4 linked regions of the Coturnix japonica genome follow. The protein of the gene in region 3 interacts with the protein of the main gene of each other region in a pairwise test. Links are inferred from orthologs where the notes say so. Each region holds a gene or a part of one and is shown on either strand. Other genes may lie near its edges.

Region 1 (8,299 bases), on a different chromosome or scaffold from region 3:
CTGGTACTGCTCCCTGAAGACCTACATGCCAAATACATACAGTAGGTCACCAGTAGGCCAAATATGTACGGTAGGATGGCTTTCAGCCTGAAACTACTGAATCATACCCACTGCATGAGTGAAAAGATCATTGAAATAGAATGTAAAATGGAGAACTGAACATTTTTAAAGCAGTGTCTTTTTCAGATAATGTAAAATGATAAAAATATATAGTATTCAGTACACGTGTACACAGATAATTAAGTGAAATTCCAGGCTGACGCTTTGTCATTACTAGACTTCTGTTTAAGTATCGGTCCTGCCTATACTGCCTGTGGTAACACTCCAATCCCAAAAGGCAAAATGGAACTACAAAGAGACAGTGGTGTGCACCAATTTGGACACTGTGCCACCACTTCAGAGATTCACAGGGTATCTTTGGAGATGCAGAAGCATTTGCTGCCCATGACCCAGGCTCCAAGGGACTGTGGTGATATAAGGTACGTGCTTTGTAAGCTGCTATCTATGTGATTGGTTGCAGAGCATCTTTGCCTTTATGTAGTTCAGAGGATTCGTGAAAGTTACTGAAGAAAAATAGTTACTGGATAGTTTTCTTTAAAGTTTTCTCTAGTTTCTTCACTCGGTGCTTGTAAAGTTTTAATTCCTGTTCAGTTGGTCTGTTGGAAAGAAAACATACCACATTATCTATCTTGCATTGAAAGTCGGCTATAAAATTCAGCCAGGTGAAAAAGTAAGAAAGCTTTACTAGTGCCATAACTTCATACTGGAAATGAAATTCTACAACAAATTACATGTGGCAATAACTGTAAAATAGATATAGTATAGCACCCAAACCAATTTTGCTGGCTCAGGCTTTCTTACTAAAACCACCTGCTTCTCTATCTGTCCAGCAGGTTTTAAGTGGAAGTCAGGCTTGGCAGTAATGCTACCAAAGTGGAAAGAACCATTTTGCCCACATTCACTGTTCCTGCCCTAGCTCAATGAAGTGTAAATATCAATGCAGTTGTCCAAGACAATACAGCGTACACTAAGAGCTGTTGTTATTAGCAGTGTAGGAAGGAAAGGTTGATTGTTGTTGCCCTATTAAAATGCTAATTATTTTATGAATGGATTTTAAAGGCAGATTTGACACTAGGCTTCTACAGTTGCTGCACTTTCAGTTTCCTTCTCTGTGAAGCAAAGCCTAGAGATGTGCTTTTAAAAACGTTTCTCACCTTGTTTCCAAATCTTTCTTGAGATTTGTATTTTCAAGCAAAAGTTGTTCATTCTTGGCCTTTGTTTCAACAAGCTGATTCTGAAAAGACTGCAACAAACACTGTATTATTAATTTCATTCATTCTGTAATCAACAAGCTTGAACACTTTCAAGCATGTCAGGTGCTAAGAAAGATTCCCATTTGCTTTATATTATAAGACAGCATAAGTGAGGAAACAGACCTCTTTAAGATCAAGATCCTGCTGTATAGCCCACAGGTGGAGAAGCAGAGAACTTTACAGCAAAGTACTCAATCTTTGCATAATAAGATGAAGACAGTGAATGCTGCCCAGAGAGTTTACGAACTTTGAAGACAGAAACAAGCAGACAAGAAACCAAACACATGCATTTTTGTGTGGCTCTTCACGGGTTACCATTCAGTGATCCGCATGGGCTTATTCTTAGCAGTTCCATACCGTGAGCAGCGCTCTGTAATTTGGAGTAGCATCCAGATTTAAGAAGTTTTCTTTGCTTTTTACTTCTTTCTGTATATGATCTTCAGCTTTTTTATATTGCCTGTTAGGGAAAATAAATTGTTTCAGCTTATTGCAATTCAATTGGCACAAAGATCTAAGTTTGCAGGTACACATGTCAAAATTTCCATACACTAAACTACGATCACAATAGAAATACTGTCACTGGTCTTCTCTATTGTTCTGCAAAGCTGTTTCATATACTAATTGAGTACATTTATTCCTCAAGAGAAATTACAGTGCAAGCAAATCCAATTTCAGCTTTCTAGATAATAATCTCAAATTATGGGAATGTCTCTCAGGTATCTGCTTGTTTCTCTGTATCATGTAAGCAATATGATGGAGCTGAGAAGCTGGTATTTCTTTTTTATTTTTCCTTCTTTCTTTTTAGGAAACGGGTGAATTGTGCATAGCTAATGCAGTAGTGCTGCCTGTAAACCTCTACAAAAGGGAAAGCCGAAAAACAAACAAAGGATTATAGCTCATGTGTCTAAATACAATGCCCTCCTGGCTGTATGGCCTGACTGCGCAGCTGCTCAGACTGAGAGAAATTTCCAGGATTAATCCAAACTTCCAAGACTATTACAGTGTTTGGCTGTTTCTTATGTTTTAGTGACATCTAGAAAATAGAACATTTGCCATTCCAAGCTTTAAGAACAACAAGGAGAAAGAAAACTTTTAGCAGTAGGACCACAAGGCATTAGATGAGACTCACCGTAGCTCCTTTTTCATTTGATTAATTTGAGATTCATAATAATCGATTAGACAAAGAAACCTGAAAAAGGAAAAATGGTATTTTGAACTTAAGATATAGTTACCAATCTATTGGAACAGGATAGCTTACACAGCTACACTGTATTTTAAAAGTGACTGTTTCTCCCTTATATCAGTCGCAGTTTTCCAAAAAAAGAAATATAGAGACATTAAATGCCTATTAGATTACAAGTGGCAAAATGACTCAAGAGGAGACAAAAGCTAAATCCTCCTGACAGCCCTTACATCTCATGGCTATGTTCACCCAGCAAGCTTAACAAGCTGTCACAGTCTTAAGCTGTAGGGCTGCACGGACCATTGGAGGTGATATAACAGAACAGGTCACACACAGCCTAAGAACTTCCAGAGAAACTACAAGTGCTTTCTAAGGAAATGGCTGCAAGGAAATAAAGCCATAGAAAAACGTATAGGTGAGAAACAGCATTTCCTTTTGAACCACTCTGAGATTTTCTGTTTTGTATGTACAGGTGAGAAATGTCAGGGAACGAATCTCAGAGCTTCTTTTTTTGTTGTTTAATGAGGGCATAAGAAACAGAGAGAGGCACACAATCCCTCTAAAATTTCTCCTAGGTAAACATCCTAGGCAGACCTGGATGGACCAGGCCACACCAGCACAGTAAGGCAACAGCCACCTGAGGCCTAGAAGCTGTCAGCTGTCTCTGACTATAGCTGAAAAACAGAGTTACTGCAGGACATGTAGGCTTTCAGAACATGCACAAAGTGCCTGGAGTTTGCTTGCAGTCAGCAGTCACAAAAGCTGTTTTCCCGAGCTGTCTTTGTTGTTGTTGCTTTTTTGCTTTGTTATTTAAATTTACATTCTAAACGTTACAAGTCCCAGAACAAAATCACTGTAGCAGATGCAGTTTCCAGAATAAGCCATTCCGCCCTCTTTGCTGACACCTAGTGGATACAGAGGCCGAGAATTTTTACCTTCTGCCATGCATTCATTCAGCTTGCACTAACATCTCCAACTTGTTTTTTTTTTCCCATGTAAGTATCAAGAACCGTCACTTTAAAATCCATTTATTCATTTAATGTTACAAGTCATTCACCAATATAACAAAATTCCTTACTGCTGATCTAGAAGGGACTTGGGAGCTCTCTTGCAAAACCGGCAGAACATTTCGGTTTGAGTGGCAACACGCTGCTGCTCCTCCAGCCCAGCTTTGCACAGCTCCCTCTGCAAACGGGCAATAATCTCCTCCTGTTCTTGCAGCTTTTCCTGCTGCTGTTGGTATTTTGCCTGTGAAGAGATAACAGGAGCATTCTGAACTGAACTCACAGGCTGGAGATGGTGCTCCACCAACCCACACTTGGTGCTTGGTCCCAAGAAAGCTTAATCAAACAGCCAGTGGAAGAAGGGTTCATATATTTTTTCCAATTTATTACTAGAAAATTATTTGTAAAACATAAAATCAGCTACAAATAGCATATGAAGTTTGACATGAGACTTGTATTTATTTGGACCAATGTGAGCTTTCAAAAGAAGTCAAAAGTTTGAGTGCTGCAGACTGACTTACCTGTGAATCCATCTGTTCTTTATGAAGTTCTTTGACCTGATTCTGTTGCCGGCAAACTTTAGCTATTGTCTCATCTTCCAGCTGACGGATTTTTGCCTTAATGCTTTCCACCACGTTTTCCAATTCATTAGCCCTTTCCTCTTGTCGAGATGCCCGACCTCGTTCCTGTCGTACCTCATCTCTAGAAACACAAATCTTTGATTTAAATTAAACTCATTTCACTAAATGCACTGCAAGAAGCACAGGCCTGGCAAATATTATCCGATGGTGCCCAGTAACAGCCTGCAGCAGCAGGCACAGGAAATATGCCACTATGGGAAGCAAGAGCAGATGCAGTTCAGACAACAGCTCAAGGAGATCTGGGCCAATATTGCTGCATATAGCACAAAAGTCTCAAGAAAAAGGTCTCTGGCTTTGGATGTGACAGAAAACGGGCAGCAATAGTGCTTTTTGCTTTGCACTACCTGCAAATTCCCTTCACAGCACCTTACCTAAGATTACGATTAGTCTCCATAAGCCCGTACATCATCTTCTGTTGTCGGTCGGTGTCTTCCAATAACGTTTTTAATGCAAGTCTTATTCCCAGAGAGGCCTGACTGTCCAAAGCAATCACATCTGGAAGCACACATCATAAAACAACGCCTTAACCAAAAGCTTTTGGTACTTGAAGATGGCATCACCGTTACTGTATGGAACCGATGGCTTCAGCAGCACCTCATGACTTCATGTCTGCTGCCCAAGGACCTCCACCACCAGCACTCCTTACCTGGGGTGTTTATGGGCACCATTCCATGGCGTAACAGCAGCGTGTTGAGGGTCTCCCATTCCGTTTCCTCCTGCTGAAGCTGGGAAGAGGCAGAAACCTGAGGCATGCAAAAGGCACGCTGACGCTCCGGGTAGAAGGGGAAATGGATGCAGTGAGCCGAATTTGTGCTTTCTGAAGAGCCGGACACGCTCTGCTTTGCTTCGGCGCCCTTTTGTGTCACTACCGCGATACTTCCGTCATATTGAGCCGCCAAGGGAAAGGAAGAGCAGGCAAGGAAAGTAAGCGGCCGAACGGGCGATGAGGGCGGGCTCTGAGCCGTGGGGCGGTAACGGTCAGCGCGGGGAGGCGGGCAGCCGCCATCTTGAGGCGGAGGGGAGGAGGGACCCGCGCGGCCGGAGCGGGGCAGGCGGGTAGGAGGGGGGGGTGTGGGTGTGAGGGGTTGTGAGGATGGCAGTGAGTGATGGGGGAGGGAACGTCGCGGAGTAATGCAGAAATAAAGGCTGTGGCTGTAAACTCGCTGTAGGACGAGTTCAGGGGCCTGAGTGGATGTTGGAGGCGGTTTGAGTCCTGGTTGGTGGCTTTGGTGTTGGTGCTGAGCCTCATGGAATGCGGGTGTGTGGTTCCCTCACAGCTGAAGGGAGAGATGTGGTTACAGGACAGCCGTGCTCTTCATTCGTCATTCGTGCTCTTACACAAAACCAGTTTGTGTCCGGAAAATGATGTTTGTGTCACAGCAAACAAATCCGTTAGTCATAACTCCATCCATTCTCAGCATTCCTAGCTGCTATCCTGCTTTTCTTCTTTTCTTGCTGCTGGTTGGATTAAAAGCCCTTTGTTTACTATGGCATCCCGCGAGGAGGTTACCCTCAGTGAAGAAGAAGTAAGGTAAAACAGCAGAGCTGCAGCCCGTACGGCCTTTGGAAAGATATCCCCCACTGCCGTGGTCACTTATGGCTGTACCAAACATTAAACGTGTTCTAAATGGAAGGATATCTTTTCCAGTCTCCTTCCCTGTGTGTGTTTGTGTGTGCAGAGTTGCATTCCCAAATGATGTAGGTAATATTTCTGCTAGAATCAGTAGGTGATGAGCTTATCTGTTACAACTACTTCTCAAGTTCAGAAGGCTGAAGGGGTTACTCAGAGAGCAAATGAAATGCTGCATTTTAAAGCCTGCTTAAATTTACCCGCAAGGAACATCTGAATCCTAAGTACAGTTTTAAACTATACTGCCCCCTGAACTGGAAGCTCCGGAGTTTGGATGGGTATATATCTTTGTATGGTGTTTGTCAGAGCGAGCCTGCTTACCTGCCTGCTTTTGTGATGTTTTGTCATATTTGAATGATTTTAAAAGCAAGAACGTGCAAGTAATTGTGTAAACTTATGACAATTAATTGACTTTGTTGGTGTTTCCACAGGTCTCGGTACGGCCACATAGAGAAGATGACAGATTTGGTGGCTGTTTGGGAAGTAGCTTTAAGTGATGGCGTTCATAAAATTGAATTTGAGCACGGGACCACTACAGGAAAGCGTGTCGTCTATGTTGACGGAAAGGTGAAATTGCTATATGCTCAACATTCACTGTAATACGATTATATAAGTGTATATCCATAGAGAAGTCATCAGAACAAACAATAGACTATTACGTGCAAGTGAGGTATATTCAGTTGGCTGACTTTACCTCGTGTAATGAACATCATATTTTGTCTCAGTTACAATTAAGGTGTGAGTATGGTGAAGTGCTTTGCCATCCTTGGGCAGAGGCGCTCTGTATTTACAAAGTATTCCATGTTTGCACCTGCGGGTAAAAAAGGCAGTTAAGTACTGGGCTGTTTCCTGAGTTCTGGTGCACTTTTCTGAAGTACTAAAACACATTCTCAGGTTTATCAATTAATACCTGTTGTCTGTGTTTTCATCTACAGGAAGAGATACGAAAAGAATGGATGTTTAAATTGGTGGGTAAAGAAACGTTCACTGTTAGAGCGTCCAAAACAAGAGCTACTATTAACATCGATGCAGTCAGTGGCTTTACACATGAATATACTTTGGAGATCAATGCAAAAAGCCCCAAGAAATATATGGAGAACAGGTCAAAAACAACCAACACTTGGATACTGAGCTTGGGTGGTACAGACTATAGAATTGTTCTGGGTAAGTAAATACTGAATGACTTCATTTCGCTGCTTTCAAAAAGTAGCTGTATGCATTTAGTAATTGGTAATTAAGAGAAAGCATAGTTCAGTGGTGTATTGGGACTATTGAGTCACGGCCTGAAACACTGATGGAGCACCTGGGGAAAGGACCCAGTCAGCCCTGGGAGCACAGGTGAGGGCAATTCACCCCTACAACCAGCAGGGGTAGAGCCTGACTGCGCCTCTCTTAGACCTCATTTAAGGGCTGGCTGCTGCTGGGGGAGGATCTCTTTCTGGAGATCCCTTCTTGGTGAAGCTTTCCACTGTGAACCTGGAATCTTCTGATATGGGTGAGCAGTCTTATTCCTTTAGAGCACCTTTTTATTGTGCCAGTTCTTCTGTCATCACACTGTTATTGTAATGCCTTTTGCATGGTATCGGTCTGTCCAGTTGCTACGAGTGGCTAGCACTGTTGCAGCATAAAACCCTGTGTGGTTTGGAGAATGTTGGAATTAGATAACAAAGACAGGCAGAAAAATGGTAATCTTGTTATACCTGTGTGTAGTTTTATACAGCACTGTTGTTTATTAACTCAATAACTGGAATTTCCCTTACAAACCGTAAGCCAAAGTTAAGGAGTTGTGAAAAGAGGTGTATTGCTGTCACTCATTGTTTTTTCATAGATTAATCAGCATGCTGTTTTCTGCACTGCTTCTTAACTGTGGTCTTAACCTATAACCTTCAGATAATGTTTGCATACTTTATCAGTTGCAAGATTTCTTTTCCTCTGCCCCCTTTTCCAAAGTACATTACAAGAAGAATGGAGGAAGGGATCCACTGAGGAATTTGTCCATGCCATCTAGTGGTGAAACTTCCACTTTGGTATTGCATTATGGTTACACAAGGGCACAAGACACACTGGGCTGTGGTTAATTCTTGAGCCCAAGGACAGAATGAACTGCCCTGAGATAAAGATGCTGGGGGGAAAGAAAGGCAGGTTCAGTGCCAAGAGGTAGCCTGGTATCCTTCTCTTCATAATTATTTAAAAGTCTGTCTGTAGGAGGAGGGAGAGTCCTTTCTACCTTTTTTTTTCTTTCATTCACAGAAAAGGACACTATGGATGTGTGGTGCAACGGTGAAAAAATGGAGACAGCGGTATGTGATCATTTCCACAGGTTTTTCATAGCCAGTGGCTCTAATGTAACCAAAGTAAGCCATGGTGCTTATCTGTGATGTGCTCACTAAGCCGCAGCAAGGAGTATGTTGTGTCATTTGGGTGTGGAGCAGGGGTATACCTTGACCTGTATGCTGCTGATTCATTCTTTACTGTATTAATCAACAGAATACTTTGTCTCCTGGATTACCATTTAAGATGCCATAAGT
Region 2 (6,549 bases), on a different chromosome or scaffold from region 3:
AAAGCCTTTAGGTGCCTTCCTGCTTCTGCTACGATGGGGAAAGGAACGTAAATTGATTCAAGATGGAATGTCTGAAGTTTATGCAAGGGAAGGTTGAAAGGAACCGAGGATACAGCTAAGGCAGAACATGGGACAAGGGATGATTAACAAATGAGGGTCAGGAGAGAAAAGACGCTGGTGGTAAGAAGAGGAAGGTGAAGGGTGTCAAACTTGGAGCGAGAGAAGTCGAGAGGTGGAGGTTGATTGAAGGCGTTGTGCTGCTTTTTCCAAAGACAACTGAGATGTGAAGGAAAGACATCGCATCTCCTCCTGGGGAAGCTGCAGATACGTTAAGGAAGGATTTGGGTCATTTGGGCCCGTGTTACACATAAAGGTGTGAGAAACAACCGGGACATCGCAGCCCCACCCGGACGGATCGTGTGTGTGTGCGGGACGGAAGCGGCGCGAGCTGCAGGGCGGTCAGACGTCGGGAGCTGCTGGGCTGTGGCTGCAGTCGGTGCGTTGCCCCTTTAATTGTGTCCCCAGCCCTCGGGCGTCCGTGTCCAACGCCCACGTCAGCAAATACCTTTTGTTTCTCTCCCGCTCGGGCTTCCAGGGCTCGGGGCTGCGGGAACGGGGCGCTGAGCGTGGCCCGAGCGGAGCCGGGGACCCCGCACCCTCCGCCCGCGCCTCCATCGCGACCGAGCGAGCGGCAGCCGCCCGCGGAACCCGGCGGTGAGTGGCGGCCGGGGCGGAGGGAGCCCGTGTGCGGGGCTGCGGGCGGGACGGCGCCGGGAGCCGCAGCCCCGCGGTCCGGCCGTGCCGCCGTTCGCCGCCGGGAGCCGGGCGGGCCGCGGAGCCCCGGCAGCGCCAACGGGCGCCATTGGCGGCCAGAAACCGGGCGAGAAGGAGAGAAACCGGGCGCGGCAACAAAGGGCGGCGCGGGAGCGGAGAGCGGGGGGGGAAGTGGGACTGAGCCGGGCGGGGCGGGCGGGGGCGGCTCAGGGACACGGCGGGAGCGGGGCGGGAACGAGCGGAGCCGGGGCCACGGGGCGGCGGGCGGCGCGTCCCGCACGGAGCCGAGCGGAGCCGAGGGCAGCGCCACGCGGGACGGCGGCCGAGGGCGCCGCTCCGTGTTAAAGCACCGGGAGCGGGGGCGGCGGCCCCGGGGCGGCATCGCGGCCGATACCGGGCGGCGGCTCCGCGCCTTGGCGGGCGGGCACAGTGCCGCCGGGCGTCACGGGCTGCCGGCGGCCGGTGCGGGCGGGGCGCGGTGAGTGGCGGCGGCGGCGGCCAATGGGGGCAGCCCGGGACGGGAGGGATGAGGCCGGAGCCGAGTTCCCGTTTCTGGTCCCTCGGGCGGGGATGGATTCGAGCCCGGCCGGATTCGGGCGGTGCGGGAACGGCAGCACCGGGCACAGGCCGCAGCTCTGCCGGTTCCCTCGGGCTCCTCGGGCTCCTTGGGCTCCTCGCCATGACGGTGAACGGCTGAACGGTGCCGCCGCGTTTCTCAGCCTCCATCTGAGGATGCTGCTGCTGCTCATTCGGAGCTCTGACATCGCTGCCAAACAGCACAGGCAGCCTCACATGGACTCGTTCCATCCTTTTCGAACAGCAATGCCTGGTGGTGGATATTGGGATATTTAATTCAAATATATTTGTGTGTTTCAATAAGATTATTTTTCAGAATATCCATTAAATGGGGTCTGCCGGCCTTGGCGAGCAGCGCAACGTGGAATTCACGATTGTAATTTGTTTTAATCCCTTTGTTTCCTAGAGCACAGCACATCTGCTTTGGGATGGAGATTTCGTCCCACCAGTTTCACCTCCTGGAGCAGCTCAATGAGCAGCGCAGGCAGGAGCTGTTCTGTGACTGCAACATCCTGGTGGAGGGCAAAGTGTTCAGGGCGCACCGCAATGTGCTGTTTGCCAGCAGCGGGTACTTCAAGATGCTGCTCTCGCAGAGCTCCAAGGAAATGACTCAACCCACCACCGCCACCTTCCAGGCGTTTTCTCCGGACACTTTCACAGTTATTCTGGACTTTGTGTATTCGGGCAAACTGTCTCTCACTGGTCAGAACGTCATCGAGGTGATGTCGGCCGCCAGTTACCTTCAGATGACCGACGTTATCAGCGTGTGTAAAACGTTCATCAAGTCGTCTCTGGACATCAGTGAGAAGGAGAAGGATCGATACTTCAGCCTCTCAGACAAGGAGGTGAATTCCAATGGCGGGGAGCAGCCGTGTCTGTACGGCGCGGGCTGGAGGGCAGAAAGCAGCCCCCCACATCCACAGCCAAACCCAGAGCAAGGGACGTGTATGAGGGGAAACACTTGGAGCAACTTCAACTACTATCCAGCTTCTCAAAGAAACACGCAGCAGCAGCTGTCCAAGCACGAGCAAAGGCAGGATGCCATAAAGAAATCCCGACACCCGGGACTGCAGCAACCCGCTGACATTCCACACTATAAATCCAGCAAACTGGAGGACAGGGCTGCTGAGCCTGCTGGCCACATTTCTCAACCTGAGGACCAGGTTCAGATTGAGGCAGAAGCGGAATCTCCTCACGTGGGGTTTCAGTATGGCCAGGGCTCCGATGTGATCTCCAGGCGCTCAGCCGTGTCGCAGCAGGAGCGCGACTCGCCCCGTCCTTCCAGCAAATCCAAGTCTCCAAAAGCAGACGAGCAGTACCCCAGCATGCCCTCCATTGTAGGTGTGATGGGAGGCTGGGCTGAAGGTAGGAGGGGGTCTCCGTGCTGTGTCAGTGAGAAACACACAGTGCTGAAGGAGCATTTACCAGAAAGGCTTTGTGTTTTCAGGGATGTAGGCTTGGAAAGCTGAGATCAACACTTGGAGAGTGATGAATGAGTGAAGTTGAGCTTTGCAAAGTACATATTCTTCATGTCTTAGAGCTACACAGTCACGATCGTTTTGGTTTGTTATTCTCACTGTAATGTTGCTGATAGCCCCGCTCCTTTTCCCTCGATGTTGTAATTTACACAAGAGCTGTATCTGAAAAGACCTACAATGTCTTTAAAATAGAAGCCATTTTCTGTTCTGTTTCTGTTGCTTTCAGTAACTGGAGTAACTAAACGACGGGTATGTTACGACTTCTTTTAAAACTCCAACTGTTTCCCAGCAGACGATCTGCCCAGGATGAGGTTCAAGTGCCCGTTCTGCACTCACATGGTGAAAAGGAAAGCAGACCTGAAGCGTCACCTGCGGTGCCATACAGGAGAGCGGCCGTACCCGTGTGAGGCGTGTGGGAAGCGGTTCAGCAGGCTGGATCACCTCAGCAGCCACTTCCGCACTGTACGTATTGTTGGTAACCGTGAGTTTCACTTGATGTGTGAGTCCATCTCAGTGTGATTAAACACAGTGCCAGCCTGTCTGGTTGATACATTGACTCCCGTAAAGAATAGGGAGTAGATAATTAACTTGGTTTTGCTTAAGTCCATTTGAAGCATAATTCCAATGAAAGAGGATGAGTTCCTTTGTTGGCTCACAAAGGCACTGCACTGCGTGAGGTCTGTAATGGGATGAAGTGCACAACTGGAGCTCCTGTGGATGTCTCGTGATTGATGTCTGACCGCTGCTCACAATGAGTTAATGCTGACATTTGATGGCACTCTAGCTTTACTTTTTGTCATTAAACGCTTCCTCTCTGATGCTGTATAAATGGATTCCTCTCAATTTTCCCAGATTCATCAGGCCTGTAAGCTGATCTGCAGGAAGTGTAAACGCCACGTGACGGAGCTGACGGGACAGGTGGTGCAGGAGGGGACCAGGCGCTACAGGCTCTGCAACGAGTGCCTGGCTGAAGCCGGCATCGACAGCATCCGCATTGACTTGGAGGCTGAAGCGCCCCTTGAATTTCCAGCAGACGGGGATAAGGATTCCAGGTGGCACTACGGGGAAGACAACAAATCCGATGTGGAGATCGTGGAGGACGGGTCGTCTGACTTGGTCATCCAGCAGGTTGATGACAGTGAGGATGAAGCAGAGGAGAAGGAAGTAAAACCAAATATCAGGTAGTTGTGAGACAAACACGAGTGCATGGAATTCCTTTTACGTGGAAATCCTGTCTGCCCGTGAGCCCTCCACCAGCCTGACATCTACAGAGACCTGCTGGCTTCTCTTGGACAGGGCCAGACTTGCATGTGTTCATGGACATATCATTGAGTCCATCCTGAGTTTTGCTATCGAAATCCCCATACTTTGCTTCATTAGAAATAATGTGCCCTCAATGGAGTAACGGCTGATCCCGGAGGCTGAAGTACAAGGACGAGGTTTTACGGTACAGTGAGTCTCTTCTCAAAACCTCTTTCAAAGAGGTGAGGTCTAAATGCTTACAAAAGTTGCACATCGGTGTAAATTACTCTTCAGCATTCAGAAATAAAGATAATTTTCCATGAAATTTCATTAAGTCTTCATATTATGTCATGATTAGAAAAGCTAGGCAAAGAATTAAGAAAAAGCATATAAAAATGTTTAGCATGTAACTGGAAAAGCATTTTCTTGTCAAACTTATTCCCTCTGAAAATGGGGAACTCAGTCTGAGATGTGTTGTGTTTGGGCTGGAAGGGGAAAACTGTGTCAATGCAGGCCTGAAACCTTAACTGCAAACAGCAAAGATGACACTATTAATTCCTGTGTACTCCAGGGAGTTTCTAGAAGCAAAGGGATTTCTGGATCAATACCCAATTTAATTAGATATTGTACATCTAAGAATAGTGGGACTGGATTCTTTAGGGAAAAAAAAAGATGTGAAGTGGCTACAAGGGGCAAATGGAACAATCTGCCCATAGGAAGACATTAAGTACAGGCAAAAGAATTACTGATTTGCCCTGGTGGAGCAGGGTTTTATTGCTTTTATACACCTTTATTATTCTCAGCGCCATCCCTAAATGCTTGTAGTCATTTTTAAAGTATCTTCTAAGCCTGGAGCTGTAGCTCCACACTGCAGAGCCCACAGCTCAGTTACGTTTTGTATTTAAAAGATGACCATTTTACATCTACCGCTTTACTTTCAGTTGTTTCCTTGTTTTTGTATTACAAGACAAGCTGAATTAAGTGCCTTATATCTTCCATGCTCTTCATTTGACGTATCCAATCATATATTTTGTTTGTTTTCCTCTAAATTAAAACAATGCTGTTTTATTTTCTTTTAATCTCCTTGCATTGCATCTCGTGATTGCCGCCTTCACGCTCCTGTAAGAACCACCAGCCATTCATGAGCATAAATAACATTTTTATTCCAAAAAGGGAAAGCAAAGACCATAATGGGCTGTTACCAGGAATTTAATTCACTGTCAGGAACAGATCTGAATATTGCTTTTAGAACTGCCAAGTCACACAAAAGACACTTCATTTTATCCTTAGATGCTGAAGGCGGCTTTCAGCTGTTTTCACAATTAAAAAACCCCACAAAAAAAGCTCCAAATGAACAAACCTTTCAAACTCTGGACGTATCATCGTCCAGTTTGGGATACACGTTGCTCCAGATAGGAGAAAAAAAGGCAAAACCATCCATTTATTGTGAGCTGTGAAATAGTTACGAGCACAAGACCCTGCAGCAGAGGCTCAGTCAGGTGCTGACCCTGTTACACGCTGAATCCTTTCTTTCCTCCTGGCTCTTAGACATTCCATCCTCCAGGACTTTGGGATCCTTCTCATTTATTTATCCATTTGCAGTAAAGCTTGTACGAAACCCTTTTCTGTTACGTATAAAGCTGTTATGGGATACATGACAGCGTTTCTTCCTGCTCACTGTCGAAGCCTCCCATGCCTCAGCCATGTCAGTGTCTTCATTGCTCATGGTTTGGTTTTGTAGTTGGTGACTCTGAACTGCAGATATTCTAAACGGGGCAAACAGCTCCAGATCTTCAGCTCCACTTATTATTCAATTTGACCTTATTGAAGCTCAGAAATGCCTGATCAGCTACAGGAATCAGTGTCAGTGTCTGGACCCCGGGATCCCTTTCAATCTCCATCCCTGAGCATAACAACACACACCCATTTGCAGCCCTTTGGTTCTGGATGTCCTCCGTTGTTTGAATACAAGACTTTCCTGTTACAAAAATGCTGCTATTGAATAAAGGAATCCATCCTACTCTACAGACTACAAGTATTTCCCATTCAGGTGGCGCCTTTGCGGTGTATGGGGATGGTAGCGGGCTCCCATTGCTTATGGGTGTGAGGGCGGTCAGACGTCGGGAGCTGCTGGGCTGTGGCTGCAGTCGGTGCGTTGCCCCTTTAATTGTGTCCCCAGCCCTCGGGCGTCCGTGTCCAACGCCCACGTCAGCAAATACCTTTTGTTTCTCTCCCGCTCGGGCTTCCAGGGCTCGGGGCTGCGGGAACGGGGCGCTGAGCGTGGCCCGAGCGGAGCCGGGGACCCCGCACCCTCCGCCCGCGCCTCCATCGCGACCGAGCGAGCGGCAGCCGCCCGCGGAACCCGGCGGTGAGTGGCGGCCGGGGCGGAGGGAGCCCGTGTGCGGGGCTGCGGGCGGGACGGCGCCGGGAGCCGCAGCCCCGCGGTCCGGCCGTGCCGCCGTTCGCCGCCGGGAGCCGG
Region 3 (7,850 bases):
GAGTGAAGCTGGGGAGGAGACTATTCCTGGTGGTGTTTTCTTTCTGCTGTGTTACACTACCAGAGGACTGGGAGCCTGTCCCATCTCTTTAATGTCGTATTTTGTACTTTTGTTGTTACAGGCAGATAAGTTGCTGTCTCAAGATTTTGTTCAAATAATGGAAGACATTATTCTCACGCTACCTAAAAACAGACAGATTTTGCTCTACTCAGCCACTTTCCCTCTGAGTGTACAGAAGTTCATGGTGAGTGCAGTTGGAATCTTGTACATATGATTGTGACACTGTACATAGGGTACACGAGTGAGTGGTGTTCTTTTATTTACACAGTCATGCTTTCTTGGTTTAATATATCAGCCTAAATATGGGATAGAAGGTAATTGCTTTTAGTGTGGTCTGATGCCTTGGATTTATAAGCAATCTTTCATAAACTTTCTTGAAATTTTACCTGCCCTTTCTCATGACAGATACAGAGTGTCTGGGTGGTGCATTCGTGCTTTGCAGTTTAAGTGTGCCAGAGGACAGGATGTCTTTATGCTGTTTTGCATGTAGATACGCCTGCTTTATTTTATTTTGTCTTTCAGAATTCCCATTTGCAGAAACCCTATGAGATTAATCTGATGGAGGAGCTGACCTTGAAGGGAGTTACCCAGTACTATGCCTATGTAACTGAGCGTCAGAAGGTTCACTGCCTCAATACGCTGTTTTCCAGGGTAAGCAATAGGGTTTAGAGCCTACAAAAGCAGTTTTTCACTTCAAAATAAAATAGTAAGATTTAGGATGACAGGTTTTTCCATGACAAAATGTACTAATGATGCTGTGAGCTAGAGTTAAAAATAATTCTTATTCTGCACTTTTGTGCTACAGAACCTTGAAGTTTTTTTCCCCTGTTGTTCAGAAATATATGTTATGAATTGTTTGTAGCACCTGTTCTCTCTTTTCGAAAGGGATTTAGATGCATGCCTTAGATTTGCTGTGAAAATTCCATGTTTACTGAACACTCTGATTATATTTCCAGCTCCAGATCAACCAGTCGATCATTTTCTGCAACTCCTCTCAACGGGTTGAATTGCTAGCCAAAAAGATCTCCCAGCTGGGCTATTCCTGCTTCTATATCCATGCTAAAATGAGGCAGGTAAGTACAAAGTTACAGCAGTTGCTATCTGGGTTCTTCAGGTTTATTTAAATTTATGTGTGCTGTAAAAATGTATTTTGCTTTAGTTCCACTTTGTGTCCAGACTTTTTTTCTGCTCTTTCCAAACTGATCAGTTGGTATTTAGGAATACAAACAGAGCAGTACTCAGCCAGTGTGAGCTCACAGCGTGACTTGGCAAGCAGCACATCTTGCTCCACGGCTGTAGGGGAATCTGAGAAGTCAGGGAGACAGCTTTGATCAAAGCTCTCAGTGAAAGTACCAACTATTACTGCATAGCAGTTTTGCACCCATGGCCTTGCTGTAAACATGAAAAATAGCAACATGGTTTTGGTGCACAGGGATTTATGTTACTTGTAGAGTAGCTCATGTACTCAAGCTTCACACTATAGCTTTCCTTGTTAGCTAGTGAACTTGGAGACACTGACAAGAGGTTGAAGTGATGTGTGGAAGGTGGTAGGACTTTGAAATATCTTACATTTTGTATGTAAACTAGAACAAATTAAAACGACAGCTTTAATGGACACCTGGCTGTTCATTGGACTGACAATACGAACCTTTGCTGGGCTATATATGGAGCAGTAATTTAAGCAGAAAAGGAGCTGATGTCAGTGTTGAGAACACAGCTGTGCAGATGGATTGCTTGAGACCTGGTTTTCATTTCTCTTATTTTTATCTTTCTGGCAAAAAAAAAATGGAGGCATCGTTATTTGAGTGGGACACTGCAACTTGTTCATTTCACTCTCTGAAAATGAAACTGCTTATTAATCTGCATAGTCCAGTGTGGCTTGTTAGTGAGAGAATAGTCTGCGCAGGCACTTGGCTCATACCATCACTGATTCAGTGGTGGAAAATGCTCTGCAGTGGAAAATGGAGTTACTTTGAGTTTTAAAGGAAGGATGTTTCCAGATTTTATGTCAATGCTCATGAATATATTTTTAGGATGTAAGGTATTAATATACAGCATTTGGCATGGAGCTAGGAGAGATGATAGTCAAAACACTGGGAATGAAAATAGACCTTGGGAACAAAAGAAGTTTTGGTATTAAGAGGCAGAACAAGGAGTTTAGACTCAGCTGATATTCATGAAGGGGCGAGCGTGGGATTTGTGGTTGTAAATTGAGCACTCAACTGAAAGTCATAACTGTTCTTTAATTAGTTTATTTATGTGTTTCCAGGAGCATCGCAACCGCGTGTTCCACGATTTCCGAAATGGCTTATGCCGCAATCTTGTTTGCACTGGTAAGAGCCCCTATGCATTTCTGAAGGTTGTGGTAGAGTAGCCATTAGCCCAGGTATAATTGATGAACTGCTTAGTGATAAAACTAATCTGTTTTAGTAAGAGAATTTTTGTCATACCTGTGTGTAGCGGGCTGCAGTGCTCCTGTATTGCAGAATGACCCGGGTTGGAAGGGACCTCAAGGATCATGAATCTCCAACTACCCTCCCCCGCCACAATCAGGGCCACTAACTTCCTCATTTAATACCAGCCCAGGCTGCCCAGGGCCACATCCAACCTGGCCTTGAACACCTCCAGGGTCGGGGCAGCCACAGCCCACATACCACTCTCAGAGTAAAGAACTTCTCCCTGACATCCAGCCTAAATCTGTAGGCATACAGGCTTTCTCTTTTTGGCAACCTGTGGTGGTGCAGCTTGCTAACAAATCCTTTCATTGTGATGATAATTTGTACTTCAGTTATGTTTTCTTTATGTTCTAACATTTGAGTGTCCTATAAATTGTTGGATATGAAATAGTAGAAGAACTGTAGGTAGAACTGTGGCTAGCATTATTGAATAATGATTTACTGATTCTTCATCACTTCCCAAATGCTTTGCAGTTCTGATTGGTCTGTATATGGCCTGAGTTGTATCTTGGCTGCATTACTAAAACTCACTTGAAATGAAACAGAGATAGTTCAGTTGATGGGACGTAGCTCACATTTCAAGTCTGTTGTAAAATGACAGTGTGTGCCTTATTTGATAAGATGCTTATATAAAGCTGACCGGCTCAAAAATAGTGCAAAAACTGGCTTCATGAGAATTATTTTTTTTACCTAGAACTGAAGATTTGATGTCTTGATCATTCGGTTTTTATTATGCTTAACATGGATAAAGAGCAGGAAGAGGCTGTAACAGAATTTATGTCAAATGTTTTGATACACAGAAAGGGCTTGTCTTTAGAAACTAGTGCTAACCAACATTCACAAAGGCTAAATTTCCCAGCCCAGCATTAGATTTCATGGAAGTTAATGTTCTTCATGACTTGTGTTGTCTTTCAGATCTGTTTACCCGAGGTATTGATATCCAAGCTGTGAATGTGGTGATAAACTTTGATTTTCCAAAGCTGGCAGAGACTTATCTCCATCGTATTGGCAGATCAGGTGAGAGGAAAAACATGTTTTAGGGACAGCTTTGCTGATAATTGTAATATTCCTTATGCTTTGATTGGGTTCTGCTTTCTATCACTGTACTGATAATTATTTGGAATAGCTTTTTTTCTGATGTTTACTTACAGGGATGATGGCATAGGATTTTCTTCACAAATACCTGAGTTAATGGCCGTGCTCTTTAAATGAGCTTGAAGAGCCTAGGCCAAAAATAAAAAGAAAATGAGGGAAAAAAGCACCTTTTGCTTTAATTTCATGGAACTCGCCAATGCTTATTGTTTGCAGTTTAGGAAGATTCTATATTGAAAACTTAATTTCTGTGTTTTTTAAAGCATAGTGTGTTTTGTTTGTTGTTCTGCTTGTGCTCCAAAGTTTGTTTCTGATGTCTGGACAGCTTCCAGATATATCCCTGATGATGACAGTGAAGAGTGGAACTCTGTTTACCTCAAGTTCCACACTGCAGTAGTGGAAGACTTTTACTTGGTAGTAGAAAGTCCTTATCAGATGTTGATGTGAAGCTTGCAGGGGTCCAGGTTGACTTTTATAATGAGAAAGCGATGTTAATAACACCTGCAGAATCTGCAGGCTTTTCATTTAACCTCCTGTTACTCAGTTTAAATTTCTTTTTTGAGGTCGCTTTGGACATCTTGGCCTGGCCATCAACTTGATCACCTACGATGATCGATTCAACCTGAAAAGTATTGAGGAGCAGCTGGGAACTGAAATAAAGCCCATACCAAGCAACATTGACAAGAGCCTTTACGTGGCAGAATATCACAGTGAACCTGTAGAAGATGAGAAACAGTAACCATGTGCGTATGTGCTGACTTGAGTAGTTGTGTTGGAATGTCATTGTGGGGGAAGAGGGGAAACTGATGTGCTGAAGAGTCTTGGAATGTGAAAACAAAGGTTTGAAATAGGCTGTCAGAGGAGATGAGGAGAATCCTGCTTGGTGACAGGATGGCTGTGAGCAGCCTAATGAGTTCTTTCTGTATTTCTTAGCTGAGCAGTAGGGGCAGAAAGTGATTATCAGGAAGGTGAGGAGTGAAAAATAGGTCTCTTAAGAACATAGCACCAACAGAACAGCCTGTTCATCTCAGCAGCTGAGAGGAGCAGGTTCAAGCCATAGGTGCCTCATATTTGTTTTGCATTCTTTGATTCATAGAACTTCTGCAAGTAAGCTGAGTAGGTAGCAGAGCTGTAATTCATCTTCATTGCCACTTGAGGTCTACATAGCATTAAAAGAAAATGAGGCTTCTCTGGCAAGGACTTTGGAAGTGTGACTTTTTGATTGCTGTCTGAGGGGAAAAAAAAGGCTGAGTCAGTTCACAATCCAAGGAAGCTGTTATTCTCACAGCAAATAGAGGGTAATATTTCATCTGTTACTAGCTGAGATGCTACAGACCATTTGGGTTGAAAGGAGTTTTGTAGTGCATCTTGTCTTAGAGATCATGAATTAAGAATTCTAATGAAGCTGCTGCAATTACTCTCAGTTAACAAAAAAATTGCCAAAGAAACAGTCTGTTAATTAAAATGAGAATTAAAGCAAAACCTGTATCTCTTTGGAATAACTCAAGGCTAGCCCCAGCCAGCTGGTCATGTCCAGGTGACTTGTGGCCTCTGCTTTGCTGGCTGAGCTTTCTCCATGTTTTAAAATAAATAAAGCAAATCAAACTGTGAAGCTGGGCAAGGTCCTTGGGCGGCTTCCTTGGGGGGAGAAGTTGGGTCATAGTGGCACATCAGAGGGACAGTTCTCGAACTGCATCCAATGCCGGCGGCTTCTCAGGAGCTGCCCTGCAGTCAGCATGATTCATTTCTTAGCTCTGTGCAAAACCAGAACCTGACTTAATTGCAGGTGTTATTTGTGTATTTATATATTCAGGCTTTGACTACATATGCCAGAAGGTGAAGCCCTTTGATCCACATCTGTGACACATCATTTCTCTGGGGATACCCTTCTCTTTGTGGGTTTTTCTTCGTCTTTTCATTTTGGAACTATGAAGACTAAAGAGCTCGGCCTTTTTTCTTTTCAAATTTGGCAGCAAGGAAGAAAGAAGATGAAAGGAGGAATGGCTTTTTGTTTTTCCACTCGTTTGCACTGTGTGCTGATTGAACATTAGTTGCACTAACTGCTGGTTTTAAATTGTTTTTTCTTTGGGTGGGAGGGGCAGCAAGGGAAGAAGAGAAACCCTGAAAAGAGAAGAATCTTTGAACACGAGCTTGTCTGCGATTTCAAATTCTCCAACCATCTACTGAGTGCATTTCAACTTCTCCCTGGTTACTCATCTGTTTTTAAGCTAAAGAGCTTCTTACTTATTCGTGCAAAGTGCCTTATGCTATGAGACCATTCAGAACATCACCTTTCCGACACAGCCCGAGGAATCAACAGCCGTTTTTGGTTTCAGGTCAAAGTTCCCCTCTTTTCCCCCCTCTCTTCCTCTCCAAGTACTCGAGGCCAGGGCTGTGAGGTGAAACTTATTGGTAATACTACTTTTGTCTTCAACTTTTTTCTTTTCTTTTCTTTTGTTGTTCTTTAGTTGGAGGAGTTGATATGCATCTGCAGTTCACCCACACTGTAAATACCTGTATTTAAAACAAAACCAACTTAAAATCTGGGCTGATTAGGTGCAGCATCGTAGCTCCAGAAGGAAAGAGTAGCCTGTCATCTCTTGCAGGAGCCATAAGAAAACCCCTATGCTCTAGCAGAACACTAAAGACTGGTTACCATAAGTCTCCATTAGTAGTTCCAGCACTTGATACGTAGACTTGTTTCAGAGCTGTGGCCCTCTTTCCTCTGGTGCAGTGTGTCCCATAGAAATTCAGATGTGTATATTGTACAAACTTTGTAAATAATTTTTTTTTTTTCCTGTTTGGGTTCATATATAACTTTTTTTTTTTTTTTTATGAAGGTTGCTGGGGTTAAAGGGATGTGACTGATTATGGGAGCAGCTAAAGATGAGAGGGGCTCAGTTTTCTGCAACACTAAGCGATGAGAAATGCTCTGAGCTCCAAGCAGAGCAGGCCTCACTGCGTGTCCCTGGTCAGGGTGGGTTTGCTCCGGTGTTAGCAGCGCTGTTGTACCACTCGTGTGGAAGAGATTACTTGCAAGGCTCTGAGGTCTCAGAAGTCTGTTGCTTAGCTTTGTGGAGATACTCTTCTATTTCCCCCTTAGAAACTTCAGGAACTTTACAAGCTCTGAAGGGTGCCGTGACCCGTGTTCTGCATGGCACGAGGGGGATCCGGCGGGTGTCAGCGTTGCTGAGCAGTATCTGCGTAAGGTGTGGATTTGGGTTTAAAAGAAACCATAGGAAACCGAGACGCATAAACGGACAGTTCTGGAGCTCGATGGGAACGATTGATTTCCTGCAGCGTTGTGTATTTTCTGCCCAACACGACCTCAATACAGACTTCTGGTGAGCAGGGAAAGGCGAAGCCCGCCCTGTAAGTGTCAGGAGCTGCAGAAAGCTGCTCGCCACCTGCTCTGTTTAGGCACGAGTTGCTGTCTGTCACTCTGCGCTGTGTATTGCTGGAACACTTTCTGGTCAAGCGGTGTTGCTTTAAATTGTGCCCCTCCCACCATGCTTGATGTTTGGCCTGATCTGCAGGCAAAAGGAGTGAGACAAATCAAACTGTAAACTTTAAAAATTCCCTTCTAGCCTGTTCAACAACAGCATCAGGAGGCACCTGGATGAACGCAATCCCTTTTGCTCATGTATTGTGTATAGCGATGCCGCACTCACACTATGCTTGCTTACTTTGAGGCAGGAATTAATGAATTGTCTTAATTTCTCCCTTTATTTTTTGACCCCTCCCACACTTTTTGTTTTTTCCTTTTCTTCTGAGTATATTCGGAACCAAAAGGCAGACTTAACCTGTCCTTTGCCTCGAGGAACACACACACCAAACCAGGTGCCTCCTGACAACAGCTTTACAAGATGATGGAAAGGGTGGTTTGTTTGGGGTTTTATTTTTGTTCTGGTTCTTTTTGTTTTCGGTCAGCAGTGACTCCGTAACTGTAGCAAATGCTGCACTAGAGTACAACAAACTCAAGAGCTCGGCCACAGGTAACTGTGAGCCACACAGCTTACATTTGACTGGCAGGTACTAAATGTAAACAACTTTGGGGTGCTGGGAGGGGGGCGGGGGGTGGGATTTTGTGGGTGGTAACTTTGACCAAAAGTAAAACCTTGCTCTTGTACTGCAGCCAGCTTAGGATTATTTCCAGAGTCAGCAGAGGGATCATTTTAGTGCGACAAAGACATGGGAAGTGTAAATAAAAGCTTTGTATCTTGCCAGGGCACACGCTTGTAA
Region 4 (8,424 bases), on a different chromosome or scaffold from region 3:
CAAATCACAGCTGGCAATCCTTGCATGGCAACACAACCACTCTTTGAAACAGCTCCCTTCATTGCTATAGAGGGGAAAAAAGACACACAGCATACTAGGAACAAAAATAATAAGCTGTTGTCCTGACAACCTCACAAAGGCTTAGTTTACTACAGCAGAGCAGCGAGATAACCTGATCACCTTAAGCTGCTCCTAATTCTTCTAGAGCAGCTGGCCACTACAATAAGTAAGAGATGTATGCTTGCATATATACTATATCACATTATGAATGAGGATGTATGCATATACAAAGACACATTGTTCCCACTTCCCCCCACACACACACACCTTATGTCACACACATTTAAAGTGAATTCACATTGCAATACATGTCAAGTATTCACTTTTCAGTGCTGAGAACCTAGAAAAATACTTAAAGAACATCCAAGGAAACAAAATCCTTCGGTATCTAAAACTAGGAAATAATTGGCTTTGAACTGAAAACCACAAATGAAAATAATCAGAGAGGAAGAACATGTGATTAGCTCTTAGATGAACAAATAAACAAACAAGCAAAAGAAAAACCAACAACAAAGAAAAAAAGACCACAGAATAAGATATCCTATCTTTCACAAACGCCTCCTCCACAAAATGTAAGAGACAGAGAAAGAGAACACTCATTTGCAATGACAGTTTTGCTAACTATGCATTAATTGCAGAATTCATTTCTACTCCCCCAAGGAAAAAAAAAAGCAGCAAGGATTTTAATACTCGGTGCATTTATAACATCTACACAAAGCCATATTCTCTTCTTACTCCCCTTTATGTTCTTATCCCCCTTACTTGCCACTTAATTCTCATAGCCTTTAACAACTTATCAGATGTGATGGGAATAAGTGTGAAAATTCAAGATGAAGGACAAAACAGGGGTAACTGAACAGTAGTTTAGAATTTCCTTTCACTCTCATACATACACAATAAGCGAGTGACCAAAGAAAAATCAAAAACCCCAAACCAAAGGAAAACAGCTTCATGGGCTGTATCAGATTTAAAATAAGGGCTGGTGAACCAAAAGAGAAACAGAAGCCCAGACTGTTGGCTCGTATCAGAGCTCTGTATCTGTGTTATGTATCCTCTAACATAAATCCCATCAACCCCTTTTTGTATCACTTAAGTCTGGTTAGTTGTATTTTGAAATTCCTGTGCTTCAAAATATGAGGCTGCAGAAAGCATCATCACAGTCGATAGGCACCATGCCAGCGAGAAGTTAGGAGGCAACAGGGAGTGAAGGGAGAGGGGAAAGAATGAAGGAATGGCAAACGCTATGGGAGGATTATACAAATGTCTGCAAAGCTGGATATGTCACACTGCAGGATGCAGGGCAACAAATGAAGACATTATGTAAGAAAAGAATCAGAGTCAATAGCAGAACTCCAAGTCTTGTGCTCAGAATTTCATTTAAGCATCTGAATTCACAGAGCAGCTGAGGGGGAGGGGATGTCAGAAAAACTTCAGCTACCGCCGCCTTCCTAGCTACTACAGCACAGCTTGATACCTCTCCTTCAGGGCTTGCTAGATTCCCTTATTTCCAAGAGGTTCCCTCCTCCCACTACAGCATCTTTCTTCATCACATCTCTTAGTCCTAAACAAATAAACAGAATTATTCTTTAGCAAGTACAGGCCATTTTCTTCAAGAATACAGAACTCCCCAGATAACAGTAACCAAAACAATGCCCACTTCCTTTCAAACACCTACTATTCTTAAAACGTTTCACGACAGATCCACGAAGGCTGTTTGCTGGTGGGTTCAAAAAGACGGAGCAGCTGCTGATTGTATTCATTACACATTCAGGAGATTAATTCATATGAAGTCCAAGCTTAAAAATAATAAAAATTCAAGTCATATGGCACCACTGCTGAGTGTTATGAAGAATTTATGGTATTCTTAACACAATCTGTATTAAAAATAATTAGTGTTTCTTTAATAGAGAAGTATGTTTAGCACTTTTCTATCTACTGAATGCAAATTCCACAATTAAAGCTTGGCATTGGATTCTCAGGTTGGTAGACACTTATTACATTATTTGCCCAAAATTATACAGTTAAAAAAAAACACCAAAAAACAACAACACAACAACAAAAAACAGGGCAGAAAAATATTGAGGTGCACTTAAAGCCTAAACTTTCTGAACCATAAGAGGATGAAATTCCTCATAAAAATAAAGAGAGGAAGTGATACTTGTCTTAACTTTGCAGGATGTTTTAAAGATTAACGCAAATGATGCTGCTTAGCATATTGATATGTTTTTACTGTAAGTACAGCACCACAACAAATAGTCAGCCATCTCCTCTTTACTCCTCTGCTTCACAGTGCAGCTTGCCCAAACAACCATTCAAGCTTGAGCACAAATGGAATATGGAAGTAAAACACTTTAAAGCAAAAACTGCAGTGAAAGAGAAAGGAACATTCATCAAACCATGACTTCATTTCAAGCTGTCAGTATGGCCAATGTTAGGTAATCTTGGATGACTAATGTGAGAAACAAGATAACCCAGCACCCCACCCTCCTTCCACAACCAGGAACTTGTAATGTTAGTAGGAAAATGCAAGATACACTTCTCACTCCTTATTACCAAACTATAACGCTTACCAGTAAAAAGCATGAACCTACCGGTAATATCTTAACAGCGAGCTGCCTAAACGTAATTTTATTCCCAGTTAAGGCAACAAGCAAATACATCCTCCTGCAGACAGAACTGCTGCTCTGCACAAAACAATCTTAGGGGCAATGCCTGACTACCACATCCAACACGAAGCTGATGGTGATGAAAGAACTGCCTCAGTTCACTTGTAAGGGTCATCAGGCAGAAAAAGAGGCTTTGCCTGTGTGACCACTGCTTTGCTTAGTTCCTCGTTTCACTCGACATCTGCAAGAACATTTCACAATGCACTTGAGTAATAGTGCTTGTCAGTAAGTGTCCACAAGAAAGACTGAATTATCTTTCTCTTATGACAACAAAACAGAAACCTTAAAGAACAGCCTGATTGGCACAGCAAGCAAATACCAGCTGGAAACATATAAATAATGAGGTTTCATTTAGCTCTAGGTTTCACATCATACCCTTGGCATATACAAATGACACCTTTAATTGATCCAACATGATTGGTGAAACAGCCTGGCATCCTTACAAGTAGATATTCCTTCTTGTTACATCTAAAGTGCTGCATGACCTGGTAAACTACCACAATGGACTTGCCAAACCAAGACAATACATTCAGAGCCTTCCCCGTGATCTTGTTTTATATGAATGCTACATAAATTATGAATAAACTATTGTGGAGCTTAAGTGATGTTTAAATATCCCTAACGCACCATCGTTCTTGATGATTTAAACATTTTTGCATTAATAATGAAACACATTTCAAAGATCAAATGTAAGAGTCGAGTATTTCAGAGGTAGCAGCAAAGAGACAAACAGAGAGGAAATGCTGGACTGCATTGACAACAGGCACAGCTTTGGAAAGACTGAAGAACAAGATGAACAGAGCATCAGGCCTACGCATTCCTATCCCCAACAGGCTGCGATGCACCGTGTTCCTGAAGCCAGCTCTAAAATATTTCTGTCTAAAGCAGTTACGGATACGAGCCGGAGACAAATCAGCTGACAAATATACTGTGGTCCTTCTTGAAATGCAGTCCAACTAAGTAATAACTGAGAGTGAATTGGTGTTTCTTTCCATTTTCAAACAACCTTTCCTATCCAGCTGCCTTCCTTTAAAGAAATGTAAATATTGTTCAGAACTATCTTCCAACTAAGAAAACTTCCTTTAGCTTTTGGTAGCAGCACGTAGAAAATAATGACCAAAAACATGAAGACAAGCTGATCAGATCGGTGAATGATGTCAGCCAGTGAGCAAACTAAATTCTGCTCTGCTCCCATCAGCACCGAACTGATGTAGAAGACAGTTTACTATTCACACGAAGGAACAAAATAGACAGAACCAGAAATAGTAGGCTGCAGAAACAGATGACACGCTTCCCTTCCCTGTGGGATATCTGATATAAGAAAGCCATCTAGCGTTAACTCGTAGAAGTGAAAGCCGCACACAAAAGAGCTTAGGAAAATTAACGTAAGCAATTCTCTGTTAACTTCTAGTTTTTATGATGCAGAAAACCCGAACTCATTTCCCTAGGGAAGCCGGACCGAAAGCAGACATTGGAGCTATCTGCGCATTAAAGCGACCCGGCACCCATCCGCCTTCCCTGCCCCGCTCCGTGCCCGCTAACAACCACACCTGACGTTTGGCAACTTCGGAGTTGTCTTTGTCAGGAGCGCTGCCTGCACACCCGCACCGACACGCACAGTGACAGGGCCGGAAGAACAGATCCGCGTCCAGTCCATCCCGAGGGGCTGTCACATAACGAACCGAAGCGATGAGCCGGGAGATGCAGCACCCACCCTTGAAGAGCACACGGCAACAAAGAGTGTCGAAGGATACGGACTGAAACGCAGGTTGAGCCTCGTATGCGGTAAATAAGTAAAAAGCACGAAATCCACTTGGGGAAGCAGCAAGGGCTGAGCAGCCTCTCTCCGCTCTCCCCGACGCGAGGTGCCCCCCGCACCGCAGCTCCGCTCCGAGCCCTCCGAGCAAACTAACTCCGTGATTGCCACGATCCCTTCAGCGGGCTTCGCAGCTCGGAGCCCCGTGCCGGAGCAGAGCTGCTCCCCATGAGGCTGTGACCTCCCCGAGACTCTCATCCCAGCGCCGCTCTCCGGGCTCTATGGATGTGGCGGATCGCGGTGCAGCTCGGAAAGCGAGCGGTCCCCTCGAGCGCCGCGCCGGACCGCGGCCGCCCTTCGGCCCCAAGAGCCCGGAGAAAGCGGAGCACCGTAGCACGCAGCACGGTGACCCGATCCCACCCCCCCCCCCCGGGCACCCGGCGGGGAGAAGCGCTCCCGTGTCCCCAGAGATCCCCCCCCGGGCGCCCCGTCGGCGGCCGGCTCGGCTCCGCTCCCTCCCTTACCTGCAGCCGCTGCAGCCCACGCTCCGACCGCGGGACCCCCATCGCCCACGCGGGCTCCGCTGCCCCCTGGCCGCTCCTCCTCTCCACCCGTCCCTCGGGGCGCGGAGCCGCAAACACAACCAGCCGGATGGTGACCGCTCCACCTCCAGTCGCCTCCTGCTCCGTCGCGCTCTGCCCGGCGCTGGCTCCCGAGTGCTCTCCGCCGCCGGACGGGAGGGGAGGCGGAGGGAGGGGCGGGGAGCAGCCCCGCTCACGCCCGCTCCCTCCGTCCCCCGCACGCAGCCGAGCCCCGCCTCCTGCCGGCCCCGCCTTGCATTGGCTCCGCTCTCGGTCCCGGGGGAGCCCTAACTCCCCATTGGCCTCTCACGCTGTCGCGCAATCGAACAGCCAGGCCCCGCCCCGCGGCGTGCCGGCCGCCTCCTTCCCCCGGCGGGGGTCGCGGGGCGTTTTGGCGTTGGGTTGGGCTGGGATGGGCTGACCGGCAACAGGTGGGGCGGAGGGAAGGAGCGCTGGAGTTTGCCTGCCAAATGAGCTTCGGCCGGGCACACGCATTTTCCTCCCCCTCCTCCAACGCGTTCTGGTAGGCAAACCGAAGTCTGGTTTGGGGATTTGAATTTCCCTATTCCGATTCTGCGGCCAGTTCTGCAAGAAGCCGTGCACGCGGAAGCTGCAAAACAGAAGATACTATCGGCACCGACGCACTTGCTTCCATCTCATTCCAGCTCCATCACTGGACATAAGGGCTGCTCCGACAGAACCCAACAGGACAACCCGTGCTGTTTCATTTTCTTAGCCCTCCTGCTCATTCTCCCCTCCACCTGCATCCATCTCTCACACACAAGTACTGTTCTGGTCGCACCGGTTGGTGCAGTGCAGGCGGCCGGCTGCCCTGCAATGCTGCTCTGCTGCCCCACAAGCTTGTCCTCACTGCCCACCCCGTGCTGGGAGCTGGGGAAGGTTTTAATAGAAAGGAACAGCCAAGTGTATGCCAAACATCCGAGGCACCCAGGACAAGACACGTTTCAGGTGATAAGGAGGAGTTTTTTACTGTAGGGGTGGTGAGGCGCTGGCACAGGTTGCCCAAAGAGATGGTGGATGTCCCACACCTGCAGGCACTCAGGGTCAGGCTGGATGGGGCTGAGCTGCAGGGTGTCCCTGTGCACTGCAGTTGGACTAGATGGCCTTTAAGGGACCCTTCCAACTCAAGCATTTCTATGATTTTGTGAGCCTACTATGCATTAAAAATAAAACTCACCCCAAAACCGCAAGTGGACAAAACTGTATTCTTCCATTTGAATCATATAATAGACCATATCCTTCCTGGAAAGTTCGCTTCTTTAAAAGCTCGCCCAGGAAAAGTCAGCGGAATGATAGGGAATTACGGGAGGTGCAAGGAACACACAGTGAGACCGTCAGCACTTGCTTGTGACTTCCCTGCTGGCCGAGCTCTCCTCATAGCAGCGCTTACAGGGATGCTCACCGCGGATAATCTCCTTCACTCCAAAACCCAGCTGGTTTCTTGGAGCTCAGACTCCTCATAGCAATTGCTGACTACACCCCCCTCGCTGGCAGCCACGCTTCACTCTGCACCTCTCGCTCTGAAGGAAAACTCAATCACCAGAAAAACTATCTCCTCTCGAGGAGTCCCCTCCAGCAGCCCCAGCGCTTTGCAGAGGAGCAGCTCCCCAGCTTAGCAGCCGCCGCTAGGTGTCCCCTGCGCAGGCACTATGCTCTGCCCGTTCCCTTTGCTGCTTAATGACTGAGCCGCCTCCACCGCGGCTGCTTTCTGCAGCCTGTATCGTCAGCCCAGCTACAGTGTTCTTTTTATGAGCTTGGCTACACTTCACGTGCAAACGTAGGAAGGTGGTACGATGCTGTATTAACAGGTGACAGAGCGGTAATATTTTGTGTGCTAAGAGTATTTGTATTTACTTATTGACGTCCACAGGCTACCTATGGCACTGTGTGTGGATGGGCAGATCCTTCCCAGCTGACAGAAGGTGCTTTGGAATGGAATGGTTCTACCTCACTGAACAGGTCTACGTGGTTACAGCCAACAAGCCAAATGTGTGTAGGATGCATTCCCATAATTATTTATTACCTGCATCTTGACAAGATCCAGCACACTGATACGCACCAGGGTTTTGCTGTTAGAAGAGTCTGTGAGCACAGCTTTCTTTTCCCCCTCTTTTTTCCCTGCCTTTTTTAATTATCCCTCTCACAGTCCCTCCGAATCACTCCATTTGGCTTCCAGGCTACCATCTGTGTACCCTCGAGGAGTCAATAAGAGAAGAACAAGGGCCAGAAAGCAGAGCACAGGTGAAAAGAGGTAAACAGGATTTTCTTAAAATAGTAAAGGGCTGTTCAAGCCTTGAGAGCACAAAAGCATGTGATGAGAAGAGGAATACGTTGCCCACACTAAAAACCAATATACATAAAAATGTAACTGGAAAAAGTGGGGAGAAAGAGGAAACTTTAGCTTCTAATTCATTCAGTATTTCACTTGAATTGTCTGTTAAAGGACATTTGCTTCAGATATGGGATAGATCACTTGCAGCAGAACAGTCTGGCCTTAGACAATATGGATGCAGAGCATACCATAACAATTCAGCCAATGGCCAGAGAGCACACAAACAGAAGTCAGGCAGAGGACATCCCACAGGACACAGCTCAGACACCTCTGATCAGAACGGATGCCAACACATCTCAGCAGCATCTTCACTTGCCCCTTCACATTAAATTCTGGAGTAGGGGCAAAGCCTACTCAGCTCAACCATGTTTGAAGCCAGCCTTCAGATGCTGTCAACACACAGGGAGTTGATCCAGCACCTCCTGCAGTCTGCTGGCAACGCTAGAACCAAAAACTGACTGTCCCATTTGTTGTGGTGGAAGTGGGCTGAAGTGGGATCTGTGGAAATGGTGCAGGAGGTGAAGAAAACATCCGGTAGCCACATGATGAGGCATGTTTTGCTGACACAAAGCACTCGTGAATAGGCAAGCTGAAGAAAATGTAGGTTTGTTTCCTCAGCTTTGGGCACAAGCTTAGAATCTTGCTGAACTAAGTAGGCGCTGAGCACAAGGTCTCTCTAATGCTGAAAGATGTCACTTCCCTCACAAAACCTCTTCGCTGGCATTGCTCAGTTGAGTTCTGAGGCATTTAATAAAGTGAGCTGCACTACAAAGCCTTTAAGGCAACCTCACCTCCCTCTGGCCACACTGGAGGAAAGCTGCAAGAAGCAGCCACATGCTCTGCACTCCTTGTGAGTCACCAAGCCATCCACAGGCTGGTGCTACTGTTGGCACTGCAGGCAAACCCAGGGTTTCGGGCTCTGGAAGCTCCAGCAACCTTGGAGCCACATGAGCAGCCTGGGGACACATGAATGCTTTTCCCAGTAACCACAGCAGTTTGGCAGTTTCT

What was found.
Region 1: the proteins of DDX6 (region 3) and CEP70 interact in a two-hybrid assay, tested with the Homo sapiens proteins (2 studies listed by BioGRID and IntAct). The two-hybrid records come from large-scale screens. The link is inferred for Coturnix japonica from reciprocal best matches to the Homo sapiens genes DDX6 and CEP70.
Region 2: the proteins of DDX6 (region 3) and zinc finger and BTB domain-containing protein 8A interact in binary tests that used the Homo sapiens proteins (3 or more experiments, as listed by UniProt). The two-hybrid records come from large-scale screens. The link is inferred for Coturnix japonica from reciprocal best matches to the Homo sapiens genes DDX6 and ZBTB8A.
Region 4: the proteins of DDX6 (region 3) and SIPA1L2 interact in binary tests that used the Homo sapiens proteins (3 or more experiments, as listed by UniProt). The two-hybrid records come from large-scale screens. The link is inferred for Coturnix japonica from reciprocal best matches to the Homo sapiens genes DDX6 and SIPA1L2.

What each region holds. Positions count from the first base shown.
Region 1 is NC_029522.1:18,784,217-18,792,515, forward strand, and holds the start of CEP70 (centrosomal protein of 70 kDa), read right to left. Parts: upstream 4,921-8,299; 5' UTR 4,894-4,920; coding exon 4,788-4,893; intron 4,637-4,787; coding exon 4,513-4,636; intron 4,203-4,512; coding exon 4,022-4,202; intron 3,745-4,021; coding exon 3,575-3,744; intron 2,503-3,574; coding exon 2,443-2,502; intron 1,771-2,442; coding exon 1,671-1,770; intron 1,304-1,670; coding exon 1,215-1,303; intron 657-1,214; coding exon 582-656; intron 22-581; coding exon 1-21. Other genes in the region: FAIM (fas apoptotic inhibitory molecule 1), read left to right, coding at 5,629-5,672, 6,203-6,338, 6,707-6,935, 8,022-8,071.
Region 2 is NC_029538.1:4,574,138-4,580,686, forward strand, and holds the end of zinc finger and BTB domain-containing protein 8A, read left to right. Parts: 5' UTR 1-714; intron 715-1,291; exon of another isoform or gene 1,292-1,639; intron 1,640-1,756; 5' UTR 1,757-1,778; coding exon 1,779-2,715; intron 2,716-3,117; coding exon 3,118-3,290; intron 3,291-3,680; coding exon 3,681-4,013; 3' UTR 4,014-4,400; downstream 4,401-6,549. UniProt on the Homo sapiens protein: May be involved in transcriptional regulation.
Region 3 is NC_029539.1:4,827,573-4,835,422, reverse strand, and holds part of DDX6 (probable ATP-dependent RNA helicase DDX6), read left to right. Parts: intron 1-121; coding exon 122-244; intron 245-582; coding exon 583-711; intron 712-1,016; coding exon 1,017-1,133; intron 1,134-2,329; coding exon 2,330-2,393; intron 2,394-3,431; coding exon 3,432-3,533; intron 3,534-4,171; coding exon 4,172-4,347; 3' UTR 4,348-4,351; intron 4,352-5,421; 3' UTR 5,422-7,850.
Region 4 is NC_029518.1:35,172,903-35,181,326, reverse strand, and holds the start of SIPA1L2 (signal-induced proliferation-associated 1-like protein 2), read right to left. Parts: upstream 5,276-8,424; 5' UTR 5,007-5,275; intron 1-5,006.